Linked DNA regions of Lonchura striata. The protein of the gene in region 2 purifies or fractionates together with the protein of the main gene of each other region. This does not show direct contact. Links are inferred from orthologs where the notes say so. Each region holds a gene or a part of one and is shown on either strand. Other genes may lie near its edges.

Evidence for each region.
Region 1: the proteins of APAF1 (region 2) and CYCS purify together in Homo sapiens (affinity purification with western blotting; 3 studies listed by BioGRID and IntAct, with this or other methods). This does not show direct contact. The link is inferred for Lonchura striata from reciprocal best matches to the Homo sapiens genes APAF1 and CYCS.

The regions. Positions count from the first base shown.
Region 1 is NC_134603.1:124,385,206-124,400,375, reverse strand, and holds CYCS (cytochrome c), read right to left. Parts: upstream 7,779-15,170; 5' UTR 7,644-7,778; intron 6,898-7,643; 5' UTR 6,890-6,897; coding exon 6,721-6,889; intron 6,576-6,720; coding exon 6,427-6,575; 3' UTR 5,345-6,426; downstream 1-5,344. UniProt on the Homo sapiens protein: Electron carrier protein. The oxidized form of the cytochrome c heme group can accept an electron from the heme group of the cytochrome c1 subunit of cytochrome reductase.
Region 2 is NC_134607.1:55,456,911-55,472,164, reverse strand, and holds the start of APAF1 (apoptotic protease-activating factor 1), read right to left. Parts: upstream 6,814-15,254; 5' UTR 6,754-6,813; intron 6,744-6,753; exon of another isoform or gene 6,616-6,743; intron 5,669-6,615; 5' UTR 5,665-5,668; coding exon 5,527-5,664; intron 5,262-5,526; coding exon 5,072-5,261; intron 3,824-5,071; coding exon 3,626-3,823; intron 2,647-3,625; coding exon 2,463-2,646; intron 1-2,462. Other genes in the region: IKBIP (inhibitor of nuclear factor kappa-B kinase-interacting protein), read left to right, coding at 8,934-9,127, 9,820-9,937, 10,794-11,618. UniProt on the Homo sapiens protein: Oligomeric Apaf-1 mediates the cytochrome c-dependent autocatalytic activation of pro-caspase-9 (Apaf-3), leading to the activation of caspase-3 and apoptosis. This activation requires ATP. Isoform 6 is less effective in inducing apoptosis.

The DNA.
Region 1 (15,170 bases), on a different chromosome or scaffold from region 2:
TCTTTTGAAGAGTTGCAAAGACTTCATGATCAGGCATGTGCCAGAAAATCCATACTGATAGTTACATTAACATTGATATCCTCTTAAGAAATATCCCTGCTAAGTAAAATCTTAGTTTTCCTAGGATCCTATATAGAATCAATGCTAGTATTTTGATACAACACGGTTTTCAGGGTAATTTGAGACTAACACCAAGCACTATCCATAAAGCAGTATTAAAAACAGACATAAAAGTGCATTTCTGCTAACAATGTTTCTGCCTAACAGCTAGTGGAGAAACTATATTACCTGTATATCTGTTTCAAGATTAATACTTCAACTGATGACATCAAAGTGAGCTCCAGAGAAGAAGCAATGCCAGAATATGCATTAGAGATTGCCACCTTAGATTTAAGAATCTTTCGACCAGTCAGAAAGAAACATTTTGCTTTCTAGCTGAATCTTTTACCATTTTAATAGGCTGAAATTTAATGCAGACTATTTCAAATTTGAGCACACCTGATGAAATATAAAACATTAATAGGTTTAAGACTTCAGAATACCACAGACTTATTGCAGACATATCACTGTATTCAGCTGGATAATCGTCTCCAGTGTTTTTTTTTTGCTGAGCACTTGCATTAAAACTGCTATGTGTACAAATGAAATTTGTCTTTCAAACTGAGGTTTTTACAGCATTACCTTCAAGAGCGTGATACAACTCTCCTGCAGCTTTTTTGGACATTGGCTCCCTCTCCTGTTCATTGAGCGCAAGCAAGAAACTGATCAAGTGCAGCCAATTAAAGACATTGCTCAGCATTTCCATCCTTGTTATTTGGAAGCATGTTTCTGAGGATGACAAGAAAAGATTTTCTTAGGCATCCAGTTGAAACTGAAACTTTTTTAGTGAATTAAAAGCAAAAAAATATTGAAACCATGTAGAAGGATTCTTCAAGTAGTCTTTACCTTTAGAGTCCACATTAGAGACGTACATTTTTAGAGTCCACTGCAGAGATAAGAGATGTCTAAATAAAGACTAAATTTGCATAGTAACATACAAGAAGCTACATGCAGTTCATACATTAAATGTATATATAGTAACAGTACTATATATGTAAGTATAAATGTATATACAGTAACAGTAATGTGAAATGAAAAAGAGCAAGACCAAATGGGCAAGCTAACCAGCGACCAGCGACAATTTGTACATGAGAATTAAAATTATTCACTATGGCAAAAATTTGTGGAATCGAAACTGTGGTACCTTTCCTTTAAAAATACCCCTGGAAGGAATATAGACCTAATATCTAATATTCAGAGGAATTGTCCCTCTAATTGGCACTGGTGAAGCTGTACCACAAGTCCTGTGTCCACCTCTGGGCCCTCTCACTACAGGAAAAACATTGAGGCGCTGGAGCAAGTCCAGAGAAGGGCAACAAAGCTGGTGAAGGGTCTGGTGAAGAGAACAAGTCCTGCAAGGAAATCTGAGGGACCTGGGGTTGGGAGTATTCAGCCTGGAGAAAAGCAGGCTCAGTGGAGACCTTATCATTCTCTACAACTGCCTGAAAGGAGGTTGTAACCAAGTGAGCCTCTTTTCCCATACAAGAAGAAACAGGGGGACACAGCCTCAAGCTGTTCCAGGGGAGGTTCAGGTTGGACATCAGGATGAATTTATTTAAGGAAAGGGTTGTTAAGCACTGGAATGGACTGCCCAGGGAAGTGATATTCACCATTCCTGGAGGTGTTCAAGAATAACTGGACATTGTTTGCACTTAGTGCCCAGCTGGCAAGGTGGTGGCTGGTCACTGGTTGGACCTGATAATCTTGGAGGTCTTTTTCAGCTGAAATGATTCAGTGATTCTGTGATCAATAGCAAATAAATGGACTAAATAACTGGAAATAAAATTACAAAGTCTTATAGGAAACATGGCAAGGTATGGAGAAGTCTGATTTCCTTTCCTCTCTGTTCTCCAAACAAAAAAATCAACAGTAAAAGTAGAAATATGATACATACTGCCAGGGAAAGGCTGGTTACAGTCAATGTAGGAGCACTCCTGCAATGAAATCTGGCTAAGAGCACCAGATTATTGAGGGTACTGGTTCCACATAGGTGACAACCATATTTTTAAAATGCAGTGTGTGTGCATCTTTCTTCTTATCCCTATACATCAGGGAATGCTCATATAATCATGTTGTATCTCATAGTAAAAAAATAAACCCTGAGGCAAAGTGAAGGTAAAAGCCACACAAAACTACCTGCTTTCGTTAGCTCTTAAAAATTTAGAATTAAAAAACACCAATAAAAGGCAATGTCCCATATCTTAAGAACTATGAAACATCTTAACAAGAAATTGTCACCAGACACTTGTAACTGAATGGGGCCACCAGAAGTCAATTTCTGTGAATTATTCTAAGGGTGAAAATACAGCTTGGTATTTCTGCTTTTCATTTGAGTGCTTATGACCAGAAGACTGGCAGTGGGTAAGACAGGGACAGCACAGACTTACACACAAAAATATGCTTTAACACATAGAGGAAAGGGAAGATGGATCTGGAGAGTGGGTGATTCTGAAAGGAAAAGAAGCTGTGGCTCACATTGCATAAGCAAGCTGCACTGAACAGCTTTAATGAGATGTAAAACCAGCAGAGTTAATGACTTCTGATCTCCACTGACAGGTTTATTTTTATCCAAGGCTCTTTAAAATTAAATGCATAAATAACCTAGAGAGAGCACACCTCCCCTGCTCCCAGGTATGTATTTTGAACACTTTGTTATAGCTAGTTCCTCTTTTGCTAATTTTATTTTTGGCTTTCCTTTTGCATAATGACAGCTTCAACAGAGGCACAGAGCATCTTCTTCCCAGCACACAGGTTCAGTCTGTTGGTTATGGCAGCCTTCTGGAAACTGAGGATGTGAATCTGAATGGTGTTACAGAAGCAAACACCACCCACTTCTTTTACCTCCTGTGACACTGACTTCTAAGCAGAAAGCAAATATTCAAAAGGTGACCATCATATTTTCTGTATTTCAGATCAAAAGAACAATCCTAGAAAAAAACATGCAAGTACTCACATGCAAGCTCTAAATCATGAGCAGAGTGACAGCTACCTGGAGTCCTGATTCAGCATTCGCAGCACTGGGAAGGGGCAGGATTTCATACTCTTTCCCACGGTTAACATGTCCTACTGCTAGCTCTGGGCTGCTCACCTCCCAGAATAATCTGGTTTTCAGGGCATCAGTTTGAAATGGTTCAACTCATCCTCTACGTAGTAAAACAGACTTCTGTTGCCTTTAGCCCTGGATGAGATTTCAGAACGTGGTTTGGATAAAGACAAATGACAAGGCTTACTATAGAGGTAAACGTGTGCATTTCAACGGGCTTTGATGTATGTGAGGGACTAGAGTATCTAATTATTACCTATTAGCTGGTTTTGTTCTCCCCCCTGAACAGGAAGAGGATAGTGTACCACATTTCTTTTAGAAACTGATGCTATATTTTATATATAAAAAAGGAAAGTATTACAAAATCCCATACAAGACTAAATCTACTAAAATGAAGATCTTTATCTGAAGCAATTATTTACAATTGTACAGGCAGCAACAAATTGAACTTGCCCAAACTGGTGGTAGAGTGGTTACACTTGAATTGTTAAGACTCTAAATACACATGACAAGTTCTGTATTACTAAATGTCAATTGGATGTACAACTAGTACGTTTTTTAGCTTTGTAAGTATCCTACTTATTTGGAAGTCGTGCTATGAAAAGGTGTACTTTTGGATTACATCTTTTTTCCAGTCATTAACAATCTTCATTCATTTACGTAACTACACATGAAAATATGACAGTATCAGTTTCAAAGGTATGCCCCAGCAAAGCTGCGAACTAGTAGCCAAGCACAATTTTTACAGGATGGTGCTATGTTTGGCAGTGGTACTGATTCCCTAATTGGTAACTGTAAAGGACCTACTGAAATACCAAGTGTCTAGACTGGTATCACTGTCAGACTGGAAACCACTACACTAAATACTTCATGAAACAAAGGCAAACCCCACCCCTCTACTCTGTAATATAAACTTAGAAAAGAAGAACTGAAGTTTGATTATGTAACCGATCATGATGTCTCCTTCCCACCCTGCAAAGAACCACCCAAGGCCCCTTGCATTAACACTTACCTCAAGTGATAATCTAACCTCCTTCCAATAAGCCTTGCTTTCTTATCCTTTAGTAAAAACACCATAGTATTGCTTCTCCAGTGGCAAATGGCTGCTAGTTACCTACTACAAAACTTTTAAGCTATTGCAGTCTAGGGCTGTATACCTAGAAAGATGAAATTTTAAAGGTCTTTTCCCTAAAATATTATCAAGGATGCAAGCTTCATCTACAATTAAATTTTCTCAGCCTTCAGTGTTATGTAGAAGTAATATTTGTCTTTGCACAAATAGAAGAGCCATCCTCTGCTTACTTTGGGCAAAGGATATCGGCTTCCTCAAGTTTTTCTGATGATGGGTAACTTACTTGTTGCAAATGCTTATCTGTGCAGAATTACCAGGCTTTACTGAAAAATCCTCTTCCCTAATTTATATAGAGAAGAAACAAATTGTAAGGAGCTGCTTGGAGACCAGTCTTCTTTCCTAAAGGTGCTAACAGAACAAAGTGTCACAACTCTCTTCACCTTCATCATCCTGGAAGATTGCAGAACTGGGTACAGTTACACTCTGTATCTACAACTGCTCTGTCAGGATTTTGGCATGGAAAAAACCTCAGTTCTGCATAGCCATGAAAGTGCTATGACAAACAGCACTTATAAAACTTGAAACAGTAATACTACAATGTGAAGTTTTCTGTTAACAAGATTTTAGTAAAAAACACCTGTTGTTTAATAGTGTATCCAAAACTGCAAGAAATGCTGTTTGCAGGTTAGACCAGAAAAAAAAACTAATCACAACACATATGGTAGCAATCACTGAGACCACTGTTAGTAATCTTAGTTCTTTTCACTCATGTACTGAGTAAAGCCCTTTGCCATTCCATTATTAAGTACATTACTCCACACAAATCAAATGCAGCCTTATCCTACAGCACAGCTACAGCTTTTGAGTTACCTTGAGTCATCTACCATCTCACTCTGGAAACACAGCAAAAAATGCTGTTAGACAGCATATCCCTGAAGAGCTTTGCTGGCTCTGGTCCAAAATACTAACTTTGCCACACTTATACTGCCCCCACCAATTTAATTAGAATTGACCTTTTTCCACGTGTATTTTTTTTTGTCTTGTTTCCTAATGATGTAAATCTGGGCACCAAACTTTACTCTGCATTCCCACTGTTTTTCCACTTAATTTCATACACATACAGCAAGCAAGACTTTTAATTTTTTTTTTAATTTACAGTATTGATTGCTCCAAATTATGCCTTACTGTTGGTACACAGTAAATACATTCTTCTGAACAACTTAGTATGAAAAAAATGCAGATAAAACATTAAAAATACTGCTTTACAATGTGCGAAACAGAACCTTCAGAAGTAATGATGGTGGCTACAGCCAGGCACAGAGGAAGACTGCTTGATTTTGTGTTTTAGTCTACCAGCACAATCATTCCCGTATCCCTTAATCTGAAACTTTCAATAACAATGAATTCTAGGTGAATGTTTCTGCTGAATTAAGAAGATTAAATAACTCTCAGCTTGGCCACTAGCACACGTATTCCCAGAAGAGGATGCTTTCTCTTACACTAAGAATGGCTGTTATCAGAAGATTTACTGAGCAAAGGGCATCAATAACACATCAAAACTGGAAATGTTTCTGAAGGGGAATTATATGGGTGCATGCAGCTGTCAAAGTCTGGATAAATTAGGTAACATGCTTCCCCTAGATAAAAGACAAGTGGCTGGGCACAACTGGCAGTTCACAAATAGTACTTAAATCAGATGAAATGCATTTTTATCACAAGCTTTAGATAGATTAATACATATTGCAACACCTAGCACTGATTAAATTTAGAAAAATATTATACTGGGATTGGGTTTTTTAATAGCCTTTGTTGTTAATGTAACAGAAGATGTATGGCAGAAGATGCCAAAAAGCACCCTGCTTTTTGATCTTCAGGAGTTGAGCTGTCAAAAGTTATTACACTGTTAATGATTACTCATTTGATTATTTACATATTTTTTAAAACAATGAAGAGGCAGGAAATGTTTATTTATTTTCTTTTAATCTTTATGATCAAGGATGACTGTACCCAATTACATAGTCTTTGTTAAGTTAATGGCTGCCAAACAAGTGTGTACTCCAGTGACCCACCGTGAGCAAAGTCATCTGATGGGTGAGACAGATTTTAAGGTTAGACACAGTACATGTAAAAATAGAAAGTTTAAAAACCAATCTCATCACAGACATTTCCATTGCCATCTCCTTTGTGAAATAAATAAGGCAGCAGATAACTTTTACTTTGCAGTGGCAACTTTGAGGTATGCTATTAAGTCTGCTCTCTCGCCCTTCTTCTTAATACCCGCAAAAATCATCTTTGTTCCAGGAATATACTTCTTTGGATTTTCCAAATACTCCATCAGAGTATCCTCACCCCAGGTGATACCTGAAAGAAGGTAAAAAGAGAAGAGTTAATAAATTCAAAATAGTAAACACATATATTCTTGTCCTCTGCTCAATTTTTGGCAAATTTTTAAAATTACCACCAAGAACTGAGTAATTTTGTCCCCTAAGGACAGCTTTAAGTTTACCTTTGTTCTTATTAGCATCCGTGTAAGAGAAACCTTCAGCTTGCCCAGTCTTGCGTCCGAATAGGCCATTCAAGTTGGGCCCAGTCTTATGCTTGCCTCCCTTTTCAACCGTGTGGCACTGGGAGCATTTCTGAACAAAGATCTTCTTGCCCTTCTCAACGTCTCCCATTGTCAGTACTAGACCAAGAACACACACAGAGGTCAGTATTGCAACCTCAAGGTCACCGACTGAGCTGAAACTTTTAAAAAGCATCCCGTAGGTTTACAAAACCAACATAAGCAGCACATGAATCTGGCAATTCTCCAGCACACTGTCTATCCTCAAGCCACAGCTCCTGGGCTTGAAAATCAGTATGAACCCACGAGACGACCTAAAAGGTATCAAGGTGATAAACACACTTGAAGGGCGGGAAAAACCTTCCCTCATACAAACTAATTGCCCCACAGCATTTAAAGGGTACGGCGACAATTTCTGAGGAACAAATTTAACGCAACTTGTACAACAGTAACTGGAATTCCCTAGTCGCGAACGACCACGTGTAAAAGCACAGGACACCTGACAGGCTTTTCCTCTCAGCTGAAAAAGCGCACCAGCCACGCACCCGGGAGGGCGGGAGGGCGCCCGGCTGTCACCACGGCCCGGGATGACCCCAGGGGTCCGGCCGGCAGCCACGCGTCAGCAGCGGGAGCGCCCAAGGGCGCCCGCCCCGCCTGGCCCCGGCTCTGCCCGCGCCCAGCCCGGCCCTGAGCTTTCCTCAGGCCCGCACCCGCGGTGGGCCGCCCGGCCCCACGGTGACCTTCCGCCGCACCCCGCCGCCGCCTCAGGCCGCGGCAGGAGGGAATGGCCTCAGGGCGGCCGAGCGCACGGCCCGCTCGCCCCATGTCCCCGCCAGCCGCCGCCACCCCGCGGGGCCCGGCCGCACCTGCCCGCCCGGCTGGCCCGCTGCGCCCTCAGACACCGTGACCGCGCCGCCGGCACCTCCCGCTCCGTCTGCGCCCAAGGACACGCGGACTCCGCCCTAAGTAACCCGGCACCGCCGCAACCAACCCCGCGGCGCACCGCCCGCCTCTCCGCCGCGACAACCAATCAGGCGCCGGCCGCTGGAGTTCTGATTGGCTGCAATCAGCTGACGTCACGGCGCCGGCGGCTAGTGGGGTAGGTTGAGACCGGCGGGCCCCCGCACTTCCTTCCTTCCTGCCCCTCTTCCCTCCAATCCCGGCCAGTGACGTCAGACGTCATCTGCGGCGGAGGGGGCGCGCAGCAGAGGGGCGCGAGTGCTGTGAGCGCATGCGCACAGCGCCAATGGAAGCAAGGGTCGCGCGGCGCCCTGAGCGCGCGGCCGGGCGGTGGGCGGGGCCCGAGCAGTGACGCAGCCGGAGCCGCGCCCGGGGCCGGCTCGGCCGGGGGCGGTCGGGCCGTGAGGGCGGCCGCAAAAGGCGCCGTGACGGAATTACAGCGTCGGTGCGGGCAGGAAACACCTCCGTCCTCGAGTCCGTTCTATGGAATGAACTCCGCCGTGTCCTTCAGACTATGGCACTGAGTGCCATGTCCACTCTTAAACACCTCCAAGGACAGCGGCTCCACTCCCTCCCTCCGCAGCCCACTCTAATGTCTAACCACCCTTTCTGGGAAGAAATTCTTCCTGATGCCCAGCCTGAACCTCCCCTGGTGCAGTTTATGACTGTATTCTCTCCTCCTGTCACTGGTTGCCTGGGAGAGGCCGACCCTCACCTGGCTACAGCTTCCTTTCAGGGAGTTGTAGAGCGGATAAGGTGTCCCCTGAATTTCCTTTTCTCCAGGCCAAACACCCACAGCTCATTTAGCTGCTCCTCACAGGGCATGTGCTCCAGACCCTTCACCAGCTTGTCCCTGAGTTTCAAAAGCTTTCCCAGAGGAGCCAAGGGAATAGTGGTGCGGAAGCGCTGCCGTAGCCGAAGTGAGGCGAAGTCGCCCCGGAGAGCGCGGCGGGGCGCTGCCGGCACGGCGCGGCCATGGGCTGAGGGCAGCGGCTGACCCTCCGGCCGTGCCGGCTGCGGCCGCGCCGCTCTGACACAGGCGAGAGCCCTGTGGAGGGGACTGCCGCCTGAAGGCATGAAAGCGTCCCAAATGCCAGCCCAGCAGTGTGGGAGTGCTCCAAGAGGACATGTCAATATTCACACATTGTGGCCTTCCAAGCAGAATTTTAATGGTGAATTCCAGACATGCCTGCCATCTCACCCTCCTCGGCAAGGAGGAAGAGCTGTTGGAAAAGCCCAGTGTAGTAATGTCCAGTGTTCAAAAGAGTTGAACTGTTTGCTTTACTATGGACATTAAAACTGTCAGAATTTTTCACTGTCTGACATTGGAAAAACATTTTATTTTCTGTGTGTGCTTTTATGTTGTCCTGGAACTGGTATGGGTGTGCCCCTCGAACTGCCCATGGGGCAGGGCTCATGTGAAGTGTTAACATGAAGCAGAAAGGAATGAGGACTGTAAAAATACATCAGGGGTTTCTCTGATGGCAGAATTTTTGTAGATAATTCACAAGACCATTCAGAAATCATCACTCCCTAGTTTAGACAGTGCATTGCCTTCCAAAGCTCACGGTGTCTAGAGCATAAGACACAGGTTTTGTGCATTTTTTAACACTTCATCACAAAGTATATACAAAATACACATTCTTAAACTTTTAGCAATTTATGCTGTAATCTGATTGACAGTTCGCTAGCCACAGTAAAACTGTTTTGATTATGATATACAGATAAATTCATGTACTTCATGAAGAGTGAGGAAATATGTGCAAGGAAACCACTTTAAATCAGGACGTTGAATTCTGCTGTTGTTGCACAACTCAAATCTCAAATCATGTCAGATTCCCATAATTATGAGGTTGACTGGAAAAATATTATTTTAAAAACTAAAGGCATCCTCTGTTTCTTTCATTTGCTGTGTGGTTTTGAACCTTCACGGTGCCTTTCACTCTTGTTTTTAGACTTATCATGATTGCAAGGACTGAGTTTAATTTAGTAAGGCTTCTCTACCTTAGATGATTCCAAGGGCCGGATGTAACTTAGTATCACAAGATCTGTGATAAAACCATGTCTCTTCTATCTCTAAAGAAGAAGGGAGCTGAAAGCACCTTTTAAGCTGCTCTAAGAAATTGCACCAGTGTAAATTCTTAAGCCTCTTTAAGCACTTGTGGACTGATGCGTGCTGACATCTATTCAGAGGTTCTCCCTTTCTTCACAGAACACAAACTTCAGGCATCTGTAGCTCTTTTTATTTCTATTGCATTTTGCCTTTTAAATATGTATGCTCCATTCTGAGAACTTCATGTTGTGTTTCACAGTTAACCCTTCTGATGGGGAGGAAAAGTGTAGCAATATTTATTCAGTTTTTTTCCAAGAAGCTGTTCTTGAAAACTCCAGCTTAATTCAAGGTAACCGGATTGCTTTTTATTAAACTTCTGAAGTAAGGAAATAATGCTTTCGGGGAAAATACTCAACATTTGAGCTTTCCAGTGTTAAAGATTAGCATGCTAAAATCAGTCTGTAAAATGAACTCTTATTTTCTCAGCCTCAGACCGGACCATGCAGATGTCTGCTCTGTGACTAGCTGCCAGCAGTCATGATATAATACGCTTTCTTGAAGGTGTAAATGATACAAACAGAATATTAGTGCATTCCCATACTGTATTATTAGTGGAAGCAGAGATGCTGTCTGATACAACAAGATAGTAGGTTAGGGGATGTGTTTTCACAATAAAAAGAGGTATCTCAAATGGAGTGAATTTCTCATATCTGTTTGAGCCCATTTGGGCATTACTAAGGTTGGATCTGAGGCAACACCATGGTAAGAACTGATCTGTAAGTAAAGTAGAAGGTGTAAGAAAGGGTGCTGTTCAAGGTGCCCAGTGCTTACTTTTTGAAATGTTCTGTCATAGGGCAGATTAATAGTGAAATTTTTGGCTTCCCTTCTAAATGTGGCATCTCCAACATACGCTGCAGATATTTGTGAAATATAGGTGAAATCCTGCATCTGGCTTCCTGCATAGGGCAGAGTATGGTGTGGGGCTTCCAGAGGCAACACTGAAGACGAAGGCAGGACTTTTCTGTCTTTGTGGGTTTGAATTGCTGGAGTAAATGAAAATGACTCAGGGTGCAATTTCAGTGCTCTATACTTTACATACATTAACATTCAGTAGACTAATTGCATTGGTGTGGTTTGCCTAGAAGGCTCATATTTTAGTCTTTTCAGTTGTTCACTGTGGTTACACCTGGAATACTTTTTCCTAGCTCAGGCCATTACACACTGGAACTACTGTTATTTTGCAATTAGAATTATGTGTGTAACCAAATGTGTCAAGTCCAATAATAAACAAAACATGTTAAAAGAGGCATCCAGATCTCTTTAAGAGGGACATTGCAAATAAAAGAAAAAACATAGCCCTGCATTATGGACCTAGACTGGAACTCAGGAGAATATGTGATTTTTTTTTTTCCCTCAACTCTGTGCTAAACTTCTGGTTCAGTCTTTGACAAATAACTTAGAACCCATTTCTTGTGGAAATCATCACCTCATCCCTATGCAGTTTGAGTACCTTGGCCTGTTTTCATCCCTTTGCCATGTGGAAGTGGGACATCCCTGAGCTGTTGTTGATTATCAGCAAACTGCGCCAGCATTGGGGAGTGTACGATTTGAGCTGGAGTCATTGTGGTGTTGAGCTGGTTTTAAGAAAGCATTGGAGTTATGACCTGAATCATAAATCTTACCCCATCACAAAGTAGTACTGACTAACATGCACTGTTATGATTTCTAATTGTATTGAAACAATTCAGAAAACCTGTGGGTTTTTTTTTTGTTTCTTTCTTCTGATTTTATCTTTGCCTTTGGAATTGTTTGGGAGAAAGGCATATCTCTTCTTGGGTTTTTCAAAGCTCAGTTTATAAAGATGAAAGAGTTATTCTGGGCTGTGCTTGAAAAGTTTTTTATGCTAGTATCCTTCAGAAAGGAATATTCCACAGTGGCAAACTTTAGGGTTTAGGGTTACTTTTCAACACTTTTATGGTACAAATCCTGTCACTTGGAATATACTGCTGGCTTTGCGTTTATTATGCCTTTTACAGGCTATTCTGGGGGAAGAAGGAACCTGTTCACCCAAACAGGCAGGGAACAAAGTTGAAAAGCGTTAGAGACTCAAAAGGAAATAAAAATGTCTGATGAATGGTGTGCCTCTAATCTCTGCTGGTTGTTGTATTTTACACAGTCTCAGACAGATAAGCCAATTTTGCTACTGCTTTAAACAGTTGCAAGGGCAGTCTCTGAGATGCTACAGTTCCTAAAGGTGACTGAATTCCTTCTTAAGAAAAGCTAAATATTGGCTTAGCATCTAGTTTTGTGTAATATTTTACCAAACAATTCTTGGTTTTATTTTAAGGACTGATTTTTGTAATTTCTTGTGGCAGTGTATTTATTCTTTGTGAAGTTGTCTCTGACAATGTTGTGGGGTTTTTTTTAATGACAAGTGTTACATTGACTTGAGTACCTGGATTGCATTAAATACTTAATTGCCATTATTGAAAAGGAAAAAACTATTACCGTATTTAAAAGAACTGCTGGTGTACTGTCTCATTACTATCTTATAAAGACAAATTATTTGGGAGTGGGACATAAAAATATTTTCCACAGCCAATGTATAGAGTGGCAGTTGAAAGATTTGATCTTGACAGAGGAAGGCCGAACTTGGGATTCTTTCTGCTGTTGCTGTGTTTTTGGAGAGTGAGTTTTGTGAAACTGTGAAAGCAACTACTTGGCACCAAGGGACATAAGAATGTCTCTTAAGTGCCAAGTAATGAGAATTGCCTAGCCAGGATGTTGTAGTTTCTACTTAGGCACAGGGTGAGGCAATGCTGCTCAGCATCTAAATGAGCTGTGAAAAAAATTACAGAAGGCACAGGTAGAGACAGCAGCCAATTCAGACAGAGTAGAAAGCAGAGTGGGAAGCTAGGAGATTGCCAAGCTCTCCCAGCTGAATCAATTGCACAACCATTATAATGCCATGGCTTACCAAGTGATAAATTTTCTGATGAGTTTAACAGGTGTGAAAATAGCAAAGTACTTTTACCATTCTGTGATGCTGTGGTTCTAAGCCTCAGGCATGAAGATTTATTCAGCAGCCATTTATTGTATGATAAAGTGTCCCCAGAACTGGGGTAGGTAGAAGTCTCTGTCTTTCATCTGGCCTGTGGGGAGCTGGGTAGATAAGGAGATCCAGGGTTCAGAGTCACTCTTTGTCAGCTTAAAACAAACACAGACCTTAAACTGAGAACATTGACTCAAGACCTGCCTTGACTGTGTGGAGACACAGGGTTGCCCTGCTCAAGCACTTGCCTCAGTAGCTGCCTGCAGACTGATAGATGCCTTCTTATCTGTGGGCTCACAGAAAAATAACCTTGGACCTCAAAATAGCATGTGTGGGATACAACTTCTCTGTAATAAGATGATGGTTTAAAACAAAGGACATAACAGAGGCATCTTGTTTGAATGAGTACAGAGGAGTAGCAAGTATAAAATGTTAGTGCATGAAGTTGGGGTAATTTGCATGAGGCACGGAATAGCAAGAAAGGACTGAATGCAAGACTTGTCCTAGGATGGGACTGCATCAGCTTCTGGTTTACTATCAGAAAAATCATTCTGAATCCTTATAATCCATTTCCCATAGTGAAAGTGGGTTTAAAAGAGAGGTGATTCAAGATAGCAATTTAGAAAAGAAAAAAAAAAAAAAATTTTTTTAAAGTTCAAGGACAAAGTTAATTAAGTTAACCAAGAAGGACATTTGAAAGATTCAGGACCCCAGCAATTTTCCAGAAGTTCAGCTTTTCTTAAAGACATAAGTGTTTATTTTGAAAAAGAACTTCAAAATTAACTTTAAGGCTTCAAGAACTGAAAGGCAAATGAAAGGATATTCTTTTATCAAGTCCATTATGTGTTTAACTTTAGTGTCATGCTATTGTGGAGTCTGCCACAGTTTACTGCAAATTTTAAATTAATAGAGGTATAATAAATGTCCTTGATCACTGTCTGATTGCATCTGACAAAAAACATGCTGTGATAACAGTAATTTCTACTGGCCTCAATTTCAACTTTTGGATGGCAAGTAGTTGGTCAAAACTACCCCATTTTCCATATTTTTTTTTCTTTGTAATGAATCAAACAGTTGGAAGAATTGGTGACGTATTCTATTTGGAGGGGATGAAAATTAATTACATTGATAGCACATTTTCTTTGTGTATCTGTGGGAGCCAAGGATTACTGTCCTCTCACTTACATGATCAGCTGGCATGTAGTCTTCTGAATAATCCAAGCTGTAGAGTGAGAAGTACTTCTGCAACAGCCTAAATTCAGATATTCTGAAATTAGTCTCCTGTTGTATTATGACATGAAATAACTCACACACTCACACTAAGATTAAAAGACTGAAAGGAAGCAACTTTTATTTTTGACTTTGTAATATATAGGATTCTAAAAGTGATAGTGGATTGGAGGATAAAATTGCTACTTACTCTAACTGCACTGGTTAAACTAATAGCTTATCAATTTTATTTTTTCACAAAGAATAATGTAAAACTATTATTTACATGAACAGTGTGTGAGAAGGCTAGTAGAAATATGTAAACATCAGAAGGGCAACAGTCTCTAAAGCATCAGCTTAGCCCCAAGAAAAGCTTAAAATTAAGAGTCCTTTTGTAAGGAGATTTGTATGGTTGGGTCTCCTTATGTAATGATGATGTGCTAATTTAATGTAATCTATTAAAGCCTATGCAGTTCTTGTGTCTAAGGTATAGGCCAGACAGGAGAACCTTGCTTGAAATACGAGCACTAGTATGGTCCCAAGAGTCACATGTGGGTCTTAAAAATAAAAGCCTTGCTTACCTTAGAATTTTCAAAGGAGAAACCTTTATAAAATAGAGATGAGGCCATAAACTGGCAAATTTCTCTCCACTCTGACAGAAATTGAACTGGTGTGCTTTGGCAGGCTTAAGTCTTCTAAGCGTAAACCCAGTTCTCTACAGAGCTACAAGGCCTCTGTGTACAGCATCAGGAGAAGCTGTTGAATGTGAAGCCTGACCAAGACCTGAGAAAACATGTTCATGGATTGTCTTCTTCCTAGAAAGGAAGTCACTCCTGCAGGTGGTAGAACATATGGGGTGTTTCTGTCAGTGGAGAGGTGGATTTCCTCCCTGTAAGAATCTTATGCTTGTTTTACTATGCTTTTTTATTGTGTCAAATTTTCATGAGTTTGGTCACCAAGTAATCCCCTGGCTGGTATTTTTGGAATCAGATTTTAATAGCCCAGCTTCATTGCTTCTTTTTACATCAGACTTCAGGTATGCGTCAAGTGTTCTATCAGACCAGATTATAGGTTTAGTGCTGTTTCTGACAGTGATGAATGCTGGATGTCTTGCAGACA
Region 2 (15,254 bases):
CTCAAAGCATTCAAGAAGTGTCTGGATGTGGCACTTAGGGGATATGGCTGAAAGGTGATTTTGGTGGTGCTGGGTGGATGGCTGGACTTGATCTTGAAGGTCTCATCCAACCTTGGTGATTCTGTGATTAAATACTGTGCAAGAAGCTGAATGCAGTTACCTCTAAAAGGTATTTACCATTTATTATTTCATAGCCACAACTGAAATGCAAACAACATTTTCAGAAAAATTTCCATTAGTAGATGCCAGGAAAAACAGAATTATTTACTGGATTTAAGTAAATAGGTATCACAAATTAAGAAAAGAGTTGTATAAAACTAGGTAACTCTGACACAGGCTAGTGATAAGCTTTGTGGGAAAACATTCAAGTTTCCTTTTGACTCAAGAGTTTTCAATTTTGTTCTTGTATCTTTGGAAAGCTGTATGAGACTAACCCTCCTGTAAAGCAAGTCTCTTCTTACATAAATGACATTTCATACTGACTACATATTCCAGTTGTATGGCGAGCCACATTTGTAGGTTCCTACATGGACTCTCACCAGAATAATGTACAGTAGACTTCCCTACACCTGCCTATATGTGACAGAGAAGTTACTGAAAATTGTTTTTAAAACATTGAGTTTAAGGGAGCAAGAAGTCAAAAAGACTAGCTGGCAAGCAGATATATGGAAAGAAAGAAAGTTTTGGCTATTGACACCTAATCCTATAAATCGTTTACATTTACTATGCTTGTTTTTTAAGGGATGGAATTTTCCACTCCACTAGTTACTGGTTAAGTTCTCCAATTCTCACTGAAGCACAACAAAACTTCCGCATTTTTGTTCAGCTAAGTGGCGCTTACACCATTGAAACCTATAAATAGAGATTTGATCTTCCTTAAAGAAGTTCATACATATCAGACCACATTCTCAAAGATATATTTAAGTCTTGGATACCCCTATCTCATTTTTATACAACACTTCTATTAATAACCTTTTGATAAATCAGAGGGTTCACAAGAATACTATTATAGCCATAAAGGGCTCGTTTTGTGGCACTTTCATGGTTGAAAAGATGATGAGTGACATGAATTATAGCCCGACTGTTGTTTTTAATTAATCTGAGCACTTCAAAGTCCTTCCATGCATTAGGCACCAGTGATTTTTCTCCTCCAGTCACACCAAAAAATCTAAATTCTAATAATATTTAAAAAATCCTTGTTACAAAGAAGAACCAAAACAAACAAAAACACATCCCAAAGCAACAAACAAAACCCTGTGATAACAATCACAGGTGATTAAATTCTGTAATTTCATATTTTAAAGTATACCATAGTTTCCATTTTTCATTTGACTAATAATTTAATCCCAAGAAACATACTGGCTTCAAAATTTGAATCCTTTGTCTAAGACTTTATGCCCAAGAGATGTACTGGGTTGGTTGTGTGAATCCAGGTATAGCTAAAGTGACTTTTTGCTGGCAAAGAGAACTCCAGAGCAGAGCCATCTTCCTCCCAAGCTGTATCGAATCTTTGTTTCCCATACACTTGCACCCTCTATGATCCTTACTAACCAAGCACATTCCTCTCTATTTCCTCCCATTCCACCCACTTCTGTATTGAAGAGTTTTGACTTCTTTTGTTTGTTAATAAACAAGAAATAACAATGGAAATGTGTCAGTGGAGACAGCTACTTTATTATCCTTCAAGGAAAAGTGCATGTTCAGCTGATAGATTTCTTTTGGAGGACCTGTCAATATTTCCCACATCTTTTCTTCAAACGAAAGATCTTTTTTCCCCCTGTACAGAAATGCCAGTATTCTACTCTGTTATCTATAAAGATCACAAAGTTGGCCTATTATTCCCAAGATAACTCATTGACAAGCAGGCTCATTTAGTTTAGTACAGATCTTCCCAGAGAATAATTAAATCCTCAGCAAATAACAAAAACTATTTCTCAAAGGTGAAAAAAGCTGTGCAATGACTGAGAAAGCTGTGCAATGACTGAGAAAGACAATGGTTTCTGGCAATAATTGGTCACCTGCTTTCACTTTGGCACCTCTAGACCAAACACTTTCTAAAGACACGATCTGTTCTGGAAATTAAGAATTTTCTGCAGTGATACACACTCTTTTTTCTGCCGTATGATCCTCACATATCAGTAAAGCAGTCTACACACACAGTGAGAACACTGAAAATTAGAGAAATCCTTATTTCCAGTTGTTTGTTCCCATCTTTCACTATTCAATCTCATCTTTCATTATTTCAGTATTCGCTTTTTCAAACAAATATGACTCCTGCACAGCTGGTTAACATATTTTGTTGCTAGAAGTCTTATTAACCTAAGCTAGGAAGTTGGATAAAAAAACAAAATACACACCACTGACACATGTAACAAAACCACAGATACCTCAGATGATTAGACCAAAGTTACTCTGCAAAGTTTTATAAGTAAAAGAAAAGTATTTGATTTTAGTGATATCACCTGGGGTATTTGCGTAACATCAGCAAACGAAGACGATCTTTAGCCTCCTCAATGTTAAGTGGTGGCCTTTGTGAAAGAGTGGAGTCATGTTCCAATCTACTACAGAGATTCTGAAGTTTTATGAGCAGCCCTGCTTTGTCCTGTTTCCCAACAGAGATCCAGTGAACTCCTCCTGGAAAGTAATCTAACAAGAAAAGCAATATTAATCATGCCATACATTTTAAATAATTTAAAATATTTTATAGCAACTTACAGCAGTAAGTCAGCATTAATTGAAACACAAATCTCTAAAATCTGTTGCAAGCCATCCTTGCAACTCTGCTATTAACACACAAGGGTGGTTCTACAAGACCACTCCTGTTTATTTTTAAAAGGAACAGACTCTGTAAGACAAGTACCCACAGAAATTTCACACCATCACTGATGCTGTTGTCCCTCCTTTCTACACGTCTTCCTTCCTGTCCCTCCACAGCCCCTTCTGCATCCATCTTTCTGCTCGTCTGACCTACCATTTACATTTTTAACCATGTAGTACTGCAAGAGTTCAGAGCCTGGGGTATGACAGTGATCAAGAAGATACCTAGATGAGTCAGCTGTAGCAGAGGATGCTATAGTATCTAACCCTACATCGTTTTTTCTTTAATGCCAAGTCCTACTTTCTCCTCCTAGTGTCCTATGCAAGGAAAAATAAATAAAATAGAAAAAATGCCATTAAATGTTTGTATCTATGATCTACTTTAAGCTAAGGCAATACTAATCACCCACAAATGTCTGCTACTATTAAAAAGTTTTTTAAACTCATATAGCAAGGAGTCAGAGGACCTTATAAGCAATGCCCAAAAGGAATATAACTGGATATATTATTTTGCACTAAAAGAAATAAAGATTTTAAGGTAATCAAGGATGCACGTACTCTCATAAACCACAGCAGATTCTAAGGTGAAAAGCTATTCAAAACCTTTTTCTACAAACTAATAGAACACTTAGTGGTCCTAGACCACCACATGGTTATGGAAGTTGTATATTGCAAGCAAACATTTCAGAATCACCTAAGAAATTAAGAAATCCAAATCACTTTCAAGGTGACATATGCACCATTCATGTCCAATATGTGTAAATCTACAGTGATTTTTATAAAAATACAGATGCTTTTCTGAAAGTACCTTCCAAGAGCTGAGGATCCCTTAAAGCTTCTGCTGTTAAAACAGTCTTCCCACAGCCTGCCATTCCATAAACTGTGACCCAACCTGGATCACTTCCCAAGCAGTACAGTTTCTTTTTAATAGCATCTACCAGTTTTGGTCGAGTGACAAAAACAACCGGTCTCTGTGGTACGCCTCCTTCGCAGAGAATGGTCTTCACTAAAGTTAAGAACAAGAAACATCAAAATAAAACATGAGTTCTAAATGAGATGCCTCTTCATACTCAACCAAACAACTCGTCATCCAAAATAACTAGTGGGCTTCCTCCCCACCTCATGTCCTATAAAAATGCCCTAAAATATGCTGGACTACAAATAACAAATAACAAAAAAATACTGCTTTTTAGAAATAAAAATACTTAGCATGTAACTAGCTCCCTACCTAAAGCAGTGTTCAAATTAATAACTGCATTGGGAAAGCTTATTACATTAATCCCTAGAAGTGAAGAGAGAATTAATATCTCCCATGGAAAATGTGGCAAACACAGGAGGTCAACATTACTATACCAAACAATCAAGTCACTTTCTCAGCCAGAGGTCAGCACACCGTGGATGCAGCAAAAAAGAAAGGATGCTGTGTAGGGCCTTTCCTTGGCAGTTCACAGCACAGCACTGGGGTCCAAGCAAGACTTCCACTGCTTTAAGCTGAGATAGCATGACTTGAAAGAGGTAAAGCATAACAGAAAAGGAAACGTGCACTTCATCTGCCCACTTTGTGGCTATATGAAGTGACATAACTGATAAACTTTGATTATCTAAGATAGCCTTGAACTCCACATGCCTTTGACACTTACTACATGCAGAGTGCCAGTAAATATGGCAGTTAGTCATATGCAGTTAGAAGGTTCTGCCCATTAGAAACTACAAATTTATTTCATGTCGAAGATGATCCTGATGACAATGCGGGTAAAAGTTATGGAACTTATACAAGGTAACTAAAAGATCTGATGGAAAGAATTAAGTAACCTAATAACTAGATCAATTAATCAATGATCAACTAGATCAATGTAGGTTGAGAGATTCCAGATTACTCTTCAAAATAAATATCAGAATTTTGGAGGCTACAAGTTTTTATTTTAATAGATACAAATGAAAGTCTGTCTTTCACTTACAACAAAAATTTTACAAATTAGAGAAAATAATAAGAGCATCAGTTCTTCTACCTTTTAAAATCAGCATTATTCAATATGAACACTTTCAAGGTGAGCTATAAAAATAGTAACTGTTGTAATTCTCCTGCCATATTAAGCAGAAGAAATAGACATAGTTACTATACTACCAAAATAAACAAATGCACCAACTGCTCCTTTTTCATTGGAACAGGTATTACACATAGCCACTTTCTAAGGATTAAAAAAGACAACTTTTGTTCACACTCCAGCACAGGGATTGCTGTAGTTACACTGACCGTAGGAAGTCATTCCATCCATTGAACTTTTTCTGTTACCAGACGAGACGGCAGGGATGCCGTCCTGAAGAAGTGCAGCAAGATCTCTGTACCCTTCGTGGAGCAGTGCATTATAAAAGGATCTATATGAATTATTATCCTTTGTAAGAATAATGTTTATTAGCATAGCTGCTCGCTCCTTCCGTGTATTCTAGAAAAAAAAAAATTAGAAGAGGTATTACAAAACTAAGAAACTCCAAAAATAATTTAATCTATCACTTTGTAAATTATAGACTATTTATAGTTACAGAAATAGTCTTTAATTTACCAAGCCCTTAACTTTATTGAGCAACAAAAACTGTGTGCTAGAATTCGATAAATACAGGAATTAGATAGTCAGAAATTACTATTTTTAAAAGGATGGTAAAATATGTGAGTAGATTAGGGAAAGAAATAGCAGTGAGAGATAATTCTACCTGTTGCTTCACTCTCTCCTCCTCCTGTAATGTCAATACTTCATCAGAAATCATACGATCCATAATATAAGAAGTCTTGATGTCATTTTCCAGTGCTTGACGATTCATAAGTAAATAGTTTCTACTCTTGACATCCATATTTCTTCAGAGTGAAAAAGAGTGGGGGAAAGTAAAGTCAGACTGGGAACATAACTTACAAGCATGAGGAAATAAGTTTTAGAACAGCTTATAAATTTTGGTGTTAAAATCAGAAGGAGTAGCAAAGCACTAATTCTGAAAATACACATTTTTTTTTCCCATTCCTATGAATTTATGTTTATGAACACTTTCAGAACTACAAAACCAAAGACTACAAGCTTCTCATATACTAGCATCTTGCTAAATGTCTCTATTCAAAGGTCTTCTCCCCACTCACTACATCCCCCATTTTTTTTTAAGTCCTTGGATTATGTGATTGGGTCAACAGGATGAGAAAGAGGACTGGCCTCATTGCACGGGATAAACGCATTGTTGTCTCCAAGTTCAAGGACACTTGGCTCCTGACATGATGGAAGAGGGAGCACCAACACTGCCATTGACTGCGCTGTACCTTCCTTTATCAGCATTTGCACACGCAACTTCAAACTTGCATTCTCCCTCCATATCATAAAAAACCAAATGTCTGAAGAAAACAGGTGAAAACTATTGACTACGGCATAAAGAACTGATCAGCGCCTCCGAGAGTCCCAATCGACCAAAACGCTCTCTCTGATGACACTCCTGCCAGGAAAGCTCCATAAACAAGTCGAAGCTTCACACAGAGCACACACAGAAGCGTTGGCCTTTTCCGGCACCCTCTCCTTCAGGAGCTGGGCAGACGCAGAGCAGCTGCCTTTGGGTAAGCCCGTGATGGAGAGCCCCTTCCGCCGTGCTGACAGAATTTCCTATAGTCACTAAAAATTACGTAGTTAAGAAAGCCTTGCACACTACCTTCATCCCACCGCACAGCGGAGGAAAGGGGACGCTAAACAGATAACAATACTGCTACAAGCGAGGCAAATACAGAAGAAATCGCTCCACAAACACACCCAAAACAAAGGGTTAACTCACAGCGTGCTGCTGTTGCCAGCCGCCAACCAAATGGAGACCGAGGCGCTCAGACCGCCCGCCCGCCGGCCCCTGCCCTGCCCCGGCGGAACCCTCGCGGTCCGGTGCGGTCCGTCCCTGCGCGTCCAGCACGGCGCTCACCTGGCGGGCAGCGGGGAGCCCCGGCAGCCGCCGAGCCCCGAGCCCCGCCGGCCCCGAGCCCCGCCGAGCCCCGAGCCCCGCCGGCCCCGAGCCCCGCCGAGCCCCGAGGCGCAGCCGCTACCCCGCGGCTCCCGGGCAGGCGGCGCCGGCAGCGCTTCCTCCTTCCGGGCCTGGGCGGGGAAGGGCCGGCCCGGCCCGCTCGGTGCCCGGCCCGCTCGGTGCCCGGCCCGCTCGGCGCTCACCGCCGCCGAACAAAGCCCCGCGCCGCCGAGCCCGGCCGTGCTGCCGGGATCGCCGCCCGCGGCGGGCGGGCCCGGACGTGGCGCAGCGGGCGGCGTGCGGCAGCCGCGGCCAGGGGAGGGGCCCGGGCCTGCAAACGTGGTGCCTGCGGGGCAGGGCGGCCCCGCCCGCCGCTGGGGCCGGAGGAGCGCGGCGGGTACGGGGCGGCGGCCGCAGGGAGGGGAGAGCGGAGGTCGGCGCTGCCGGGGCTGGGGAATCCTGCACGGCGGGCTCGGGCTTGCCGGGGGCCCCGGGCGCGGAGGGGATGTGGATCACTATGGGGGAGAAGAGGAGATGTGGGTCACTCTGGGGGGAGCGGAGGGGGTGTGGGTCACTCTGGGGGGAGCGGAGGGGGTGTGGGTCACTTTAGGGGAAGAAGAGGGGATGTGGGTCACTCTGGGGGGAGCGGAGGGGATGTGGGTCACTTTGGGGGAAGAAGAGGAGATGTGGGTCACTTTGGGGGAAGAAGAGGGGATGTGGGTCACTCTGGGGGCAGCGGACCGGTCCGGAAGGGTCTCTGGGGAGCTGCGGCTCATCCCTCTCTGCCGCACCGGGCTGCGCGCAGAAGCTGTCCTTTAAAAGCAGAGCTTTTCTCTCTTAAACTCTTTTTCTAACTATTATTCAGAGCTCTCTTTTTTCCCTCCATTTTAACTTAATAATATATTCTCTCCAACCCCAAGATGTTTTAAAAGCTTCAAAATACAATTTTTCCGTTTTGGTGGCTTCTTTTGTTTGGTTTTTGTTTTGGTTGCGTTTTTTTTGGTTTTGTTTTGGGGTTTTTTGTGTGTTTGTTTTTTTGTTTTTTGGGGGTTTTTTGTTTGGTTTGGGGTTTTTTTGTGTGTGTGTTTTGTGTTTTGTTTGGGGGTTCTTTTGGTGGATTTTTTTTTTGGAAATGAAAAACTTTTTTCTCCATGCTTCAAGCTCAGAGTGTACTTCCTAGTACTGTGGCTCAAACAGCTCTAAACTACCTGCATGACAGATTGGATTTTAAACAATACCTTTTACCCCTGTACATGACTATGTAAGTATCTCCAAATATTTCTATTTTGATATGTGACTAAGCAGCAATGCTGCTAAGTGATCCAAAACCCCAGCAGAACAATTTGGTCTCAAATTAGGCTAAAGCAACTCTGACAAGGATCAAGTCTATTTTGAGGAGTATGGTGGGAGATTTTAGGCTTAAAAACTACACTCTGTACTTCACTTGGATGGTTAAAATATGAGCTGGAGATTCATATTGCCTCAGTCTATTCTGATCTTAATTTTATCAACAGGAAGTTTTTCTGTTTTCTAGAGGAATGATTTAATGAATCTTCTGAACTTTTTTATCATGACTTTTTGTTAACTGATGTTTGTGATTTTACAGATGACATGAAATCATTACAGCAGAGCTACTAAATTAAAGCTTGATTTGCAATTTTATTTTTTAAATTGAAAAATTAACTTTCCCCTTTTAGTGTGGTGTAGATGATAATTCTTTTTTAAATCTACAGGTAAAACACAAGTACATCAGTGAAATTGCTGATGAACTTGTGACAGTCATCAGCTACAAAAAGAAATATACTTTTAATCCTTGTAATTTTAAATCTATGTTTAAAACAACTTATTCTATAACAGACAAAATATTTCTGGAAACATGAAGTTAGATTAAGCTTGGAAAGTCAATTCAGCTGGAGAAAATATGATAGCAATGCTCTGTAATATAGAAAGCAAGTGAAAGTATGATACTTTACTAGGAAGCATAGTGAACAGCAAAAGAAACATTTTTGGAGGTGTATTTATGTACTTACAGTTTATGTTTGAGGATGTTTAAAACGTAAGAAGTTAAAAACAAGTCCTTTCTCTTGTTTGTTTTTTTTTTCCTAGCTTTCTCCTTTGCTTCTGCTTTTTAAAACCACAAAATGTCTGAAGTTAAGACAAGGAAAAAAGGTATTTCTTCATCCAAGACCAATGAAGATTCACAGAAGGCTGAGAAGCACAGTAATTATGGGAAGCTGGCAAGTCCCAGGACCAGCAATAATCACAGTTCCTTTTGGATGGACTCAAGGACAAGCTTGAGTGTCGTTTCCCTTGCTGTTTGCCTGGTGGTGAGCTGGTAGGTAACCCTCTCTAAAGAGGATTTTAGTATTTTCTTTTGTATTCTGTGGGGTGTGTGATTTTCATGTTAGCAGAGAGCTTGAGCTAAGTGTCTACAGAAACATGTTAGAGCCAGAAGGATCCAGGAAAGAGTAGCAGTATTTACAAGCAGGGAAACATGGGCGTGCAGTGAGTTACTGTAGAAGCTCCATCTGTTACATGAGGTTGAAGGTGCCTTGCTCAGGAATTCTAAAGACCTGCTTTGGAGACTGCATCTTCCTGGAGAGCGACTTAGGCTGACAGGAAGTGCTCGTTGAGCAGGCAGTAAATGGACAGAAGAAGTGAAATAGAGTTTTCTTTAAATCATTTCCTCATCAGTGTAATAAACCGTTCATCAGGTGGAGTCCTTAAGTAAAGGTCAAATGCCTTTGTTAAAGATGTTTTAAAATATCTTAGCAGCATCAGTGCCTTAGTTACCCTAGCATGCAGTGTAAAAGCAAAGACATCTATCAATGCTTCCTTGCTGTCATACCTTTTGTAGAAGTATCAAGACAGATCAATTTGTTTTTCTTTTTTTGCCATATATTGATCTAGCAAATTTTGTGAAAACAAATCCCTCCAGTAACAATTTGCTCTGAATCAGGTCCTGAAATACTTAATATATACTAATTAAGAAGTTACGTTTTCTGTTTATTTGCTTGAAATTTCCAGGTTTCTATTTCAGCAGTCAGGTCAATTTTCTGATCTGGAAAGAAAGTACAATTTTTTACATCAAGAAGCTGAAAAAATCCTGGATGTGGGAAATAAAGTAAACTTAATTTCTGAAAAGGTAATAATTAACATCTCAATTGGATGATCTTTTGTGAACATTTGTCATTGCTTACTTCACTGTTATTTCATTAATTTAACTGCCTGTTTTAAAACAAGTTTTCAGAATGTGTTTTACTTGCCTGTGAATAGGCATTTAGAGACTATTTCATGTGACAAAGCATGTCAATCCATGCCATTGTTCCAGTAGGTTGTATCTCAGTATAATTTTTTAGAAACTAAAGTATTTTTAAGAACTTACATATATGCATGTTTCATTTACCATTCCTCTTTCATGTGCAATTCTTAGGTACATTGATTTGAAGAAAATGTACCGGCATTTTGATGTAGCAGACCTGTTCTAATAATATGAAGACATAATAAAGTGATAGATAAGAAAATACTATAGTAATGAAAAAAGATATTACCACGTGTGACATTATCCAGTAGAAAAGATGTGCTGGCTGCTGAATTATCCCTGATACATTATGAATAATGATGGAAGCATGGCATGGCTCATGCCAGTGATTTTATTTCAGCACTGATCTCTGAATTATGTCATTCATATATTATGTAATTTGGATATTTATATACTACAGATTTCAAAGTGTTGCATGGGATTTACTGTATTTTTGACAAAAAAAAACAAGCATGGAAAATTGCATATATGCTATAGAAGTTCAACAACAGACATACTTTTTCATGCTAGGTTAATCAATGATATTTTAAAGAGGAACCATGGAAACACACCATGGAGGAACTTTGTAACAAGTACAGTGGTTTTTAAGGGACTTTATTATCTCTTAATAAATGGAAATGGTTTTCTGTTGTTACTTTTGTTAAGTAGACACAGACATTGTTTTGTGTTGTAAATGCAGCTTGAGTCTTCTGAAAGTATCCTGCGAGAAGCTGCCTCATCCATCTCTGTGATGACTGAGTTTGGGCAGGAAATATCTTCTCTTCATAACACCATAAATGATATTCAGAACAATGAACAGACTCTATCTCTAAAGATGCAGAGAATTAATGAGAAGTTCCAAAATGTTACAAATCCCTGGAGAAGAAGTCTGGATGAAATGAACACAAATGCTAGTGGTTTAAAATCTGAAGCAAAGTTCATTCATACAGAAGTTACTTCCAAAATTAATGAAGTTGACCAAAGAATTAAATCCCTTGCAGAAAGAGTAAGAGATTTGGAAGACAGTACAGCCAGAAATATCAGAACACTAAAAAAGCAAGAAGATGATGAATTTTCTAGAGTTGAACAAAAGTTGAACTTGGATGCAAAGTCAGTTGAAAAGATAGAAGAAGAACAGAATAGTCTGGTAGCCAAGGACACAGACCTGAATCAGAAACTTGCAAACTATGAACCTAAAATTGAGGAGTGCAAGAGCCATTTGCCAACAATTGAAAATGCTATTCACTCCATTCTTAGGTTGTCAAGTGAATTGCTTGGTATGGAGAAAAAGATAGAGGACTTGAAGACACAGCTGTACGCTGTGGAAAATGACATGCTGAAAACTGTTTCTGATACAGTGGTGATGCAGAAGGCTCTTGAAGGCCTCCAGTCCAATGGCAGCTTGTTCAAAGTGCTGCATGAGCTAGCTGTTCTAGAAGCAGGGCCTGACATAGCAGTATCTTCAAAAGCAGAAGTAACTTTAGAAAGCTTTAACTTCGAAAATGACCAGAATGGGGATAAGTGAATTTGGTCTTAGTCTTTTCATTGATGAAAAAGCACTTTTTTATAAATAATGTGATTTAAACCTATATCAAAGATCACTGATGTACTGTCACTGATCTAAAGATCATTGGAACAGCTTGAAAGGTGGAGAAAGAGGGTAGTGAGCAAGGAAGTAACACTTTGTTAAAGAAGGAAAGTAATATTTTCTTAAATTAAGGATTATTTGCAGTTTTTTTATTAAAAACAATTTGAAGCCAGGTATTTAGATTTAAGGGGGGGAAAGTTAATATTTTTAGTTTGTATTTAGTTTTCACTACCTAGTTTCTTTTGTTGTTACTTTGTGTATTTTTTTCCATAGACTTGTAACACAGTGAACTGATGATTTGTGTTTTCAGAGGTCACCTTGGAAAGTCACGTGGCACCTTCTTGTAATTTTTTGTTGCAATAGAAGAAGTACTAACATTTATTAAGTATACTGACAAGAAAAAAAAAAATCTGGTTGTGTTATAACAGAAATTGATTTCCTAGAGACAGGTTTTGCACTCAAATTGAATGTCAGAATAGTAAGGTATTTCATTAAAGTATAGCTTGAATTTTGACATTGAGTTCTTAAGCTAGAAATATTTTTGTATCCCTCTAGTGTGAAAAGACTTGGAACTTAATGAAACAACTGGAAGATCTTCAAATAATTTCTCACATTAAATATCTGCAGGAAGATATTTATACAATGAAAACATGGTCTAGCAGCATAATTAAAAAACAAGAAGAACTGGAGAAGAATTTAACAAGCCTTTTTCATGCAGTTTCAAGCGCTGAACAGGATGCAGCTTCTGTAGCAAAAAACATAACATTGACAATTGTGACAGTAAAAACTGACATAAGGCGCATTTCAGGCCTGGTCTCAGACATGACTGCACTGACAGATTCTTTGCAAACATTAGAAGATAAAGTAGAAAAAGGTGAAAAGGCAACAGTAAAAAATATAGGTGACCTCCTTACCAGTAGCATCGACCGAAGTACGAAAATACAAAGCCTGGCATCCAGTAACGCAAGAAAAATTGAGCAAATTAAGACATCACTGTCTGAGTTAAAGAGCAATTTTGACAAGCATTCTGATAGACTTTTGAATCTTGAAGGTGACAGAGCAAAAGTTCTGAAGACAGTTGCATTTGCAAATGATTTGAAACCTAAGATGTACAGAGTTAAAAAGGAGTTTGCCATCTTGGAGCCCTTAATAAATGACCTAACACTGAGAATAGGAAGATTAGTGGAGGAAGTTTTGCAACGGCAGAAAGAAATTGCTTTACTGAATGAGAAATTGGCCAATCTAACAAGAGTTCAAACTGAGATTAAGGATGTGAAAGATGAAATAACTAAGATTTCAGATATTAATTGATCACTGAAAGGCAATTGCCTAAAGAATAATGTTTGAGGAGTGTGAACTCCCATCATGTGTAGTACTGAGAAGGCAGGCAATATTTAAATGCTTCATTTAGAAGCACACCTAAACCTGAAATTTGTCCTATTCTTTTGAACAGGACAGGAAAAAGTCATACTTATTTCAAGGGAGAAATAATAATGTGAACAAAAAATGTACCTCTCTGCATGTATTTTTCTTTCTGAAGAATGAGAGATGCTATATTTAATAAATTGGTTTTTTTGTATAATAAAGCAGTGTTAAAGTACAGAATTAAGTTCTTAGTTTTAGAGTTTGCTTTCACAAAGAAAGCAGGACCCAAGAATGACAGATCTCCAGTTTCACTTTCCTGCTGCAAAGGAAGGAATAGGATTGTGGTTTCCAGCTGAACAAAAGGTAGTCCAACAGCAATAGCACTTTGTCTCTATTTACTCTATGATTTTTGTAAACCAGTTTCTTTTTAAAATAATACTTAACAAGGTAAATGCAGTGAAGCAAGAAATCCTCAGAAATATTGCTGATGCTTCCAGAAAGTTTGTCATACATTCAGATGGAATAATTTGTGTAAGGCTTTGTGTGAGGCTTTATAATTGTAAATCAAAATTACTGCGCAGCACTGTTCTGTCTTTAAAACAGAACACTCTATAGGGACAATGCTCTGAAAGATGTAATAATGCTGCTGATGGCTTTATCCCCAAAGTGTCTGTTCAGAAATCCTAACAGTGTTAGTCATTCATTATTTCTTAGTCTGTAAAATACTAAAGTGAGCAGCAGAATTAGTAGAGAAGCTACTTGTATCCCAAAAGGCTACTGCTATGAACTATTGGGACTATTTAAGTGCTGAAGAACAACAGATTTGAGACATTTGAAGTAGACAGTAACAAGACAGTGGGAATGTTTAAGAGGAAGGTGGGGGAGAGAAGTGCATTAAATAAGAATAAAAATGGCTATAAATATCAATTGGAAGCAATACAACAATTCAGAAAATCCCTGTAAATGAAATCATATAAAGAAGTGTAAGTATACAGTAAAGTCTTTATGCCTTTTTAGTTGGCCACACCTTAACATCTGGCAACTACTAGACCCTCAATTGTATGGAAGATGCAAACATTCCTCTCCCTCACTATTTTCATCCTCATTCAGCATTCCATGTCTTTTGGTCTGCTTCATGTTTTGGTCTTCTGTACTTTCTTTGCTTCATTTGCCTACAGTTAGCCTCCAATACTTTGTTTAAAGTTTTTCTCTGTTTGGTATAGGTCCATTCCTATCTTCCCTTTTCTTCAACCTCTTTCCAGTCCACCTGACAGATGGCAAGAATAAACCTGTCAAAAGACAAGTTTTCCTAGAAGCATCCACAGACATTCTACCAAGCCCTGTCCCTTTGCTCTTCCACACAGTTCTTAAGTGAGCTCCTGAATATAACCAAATGGCATTTGAAGGAGGCAGCAACATTAAAGAACAGCCATGGTAAAGTATGCATTGCCTGTCATACCTCAAGCAAAGTATGTACACATGCACATACACCTTAGGGGATTGAGGTTTACATAATAAATATATTGTGGATGCAAGGCATCACAGGCTACAGTCATTTTATTCACTTTGCTTTCAATTTTATGAATGCATCATTTGTGGTCAGTAGCCAGTATGACTCGAAGAGGCAGAACTGGAGAACTGGTAGAGCTACATCTACACAAGTGATGTGGAAAATATATTCCAGCTGCACAGTTAATCTGAGCAGCCATGACACAGCAGAGGTCTGTCTGCATTAAAAGAATGCACTTGCTCCTTGGAACAGTAACCAGAAAACAAGCCAGGATAAACAACTGTGGATTTCACGTTCAACCTCCAAATTCTAGAACACATCTCCCAGTGAAAAGCCAAGTGTACAGTCCTGTGAATGGTCTCCAAGGGAAGTTAAGCGTACAAAAAATGTCACAGGACCATTCATTTCCCTTTCCCTTTAGATGTATGCAGACTTGCTACCCTTACTTCCCAGAAATTTTCTTGCTGCAAGCAAGACAAAACAACTAAGTCACAAAGGTAAAGTTTACTTGAAAAAAGTATTTTGGAATAATCTGTATCTCAAGTTGCTACACCACTCCACTGACCTCAGCAGTAAGGTGAGCAATCAGAATTTCTCCCATAATCCACACCAGTATTACAAATCTCTTCTTTGCCATTCAGGCACGTATCTCCACTGTACTAAAAAAATGGAAGTTTTATAGTAGCTTTATAATTAGA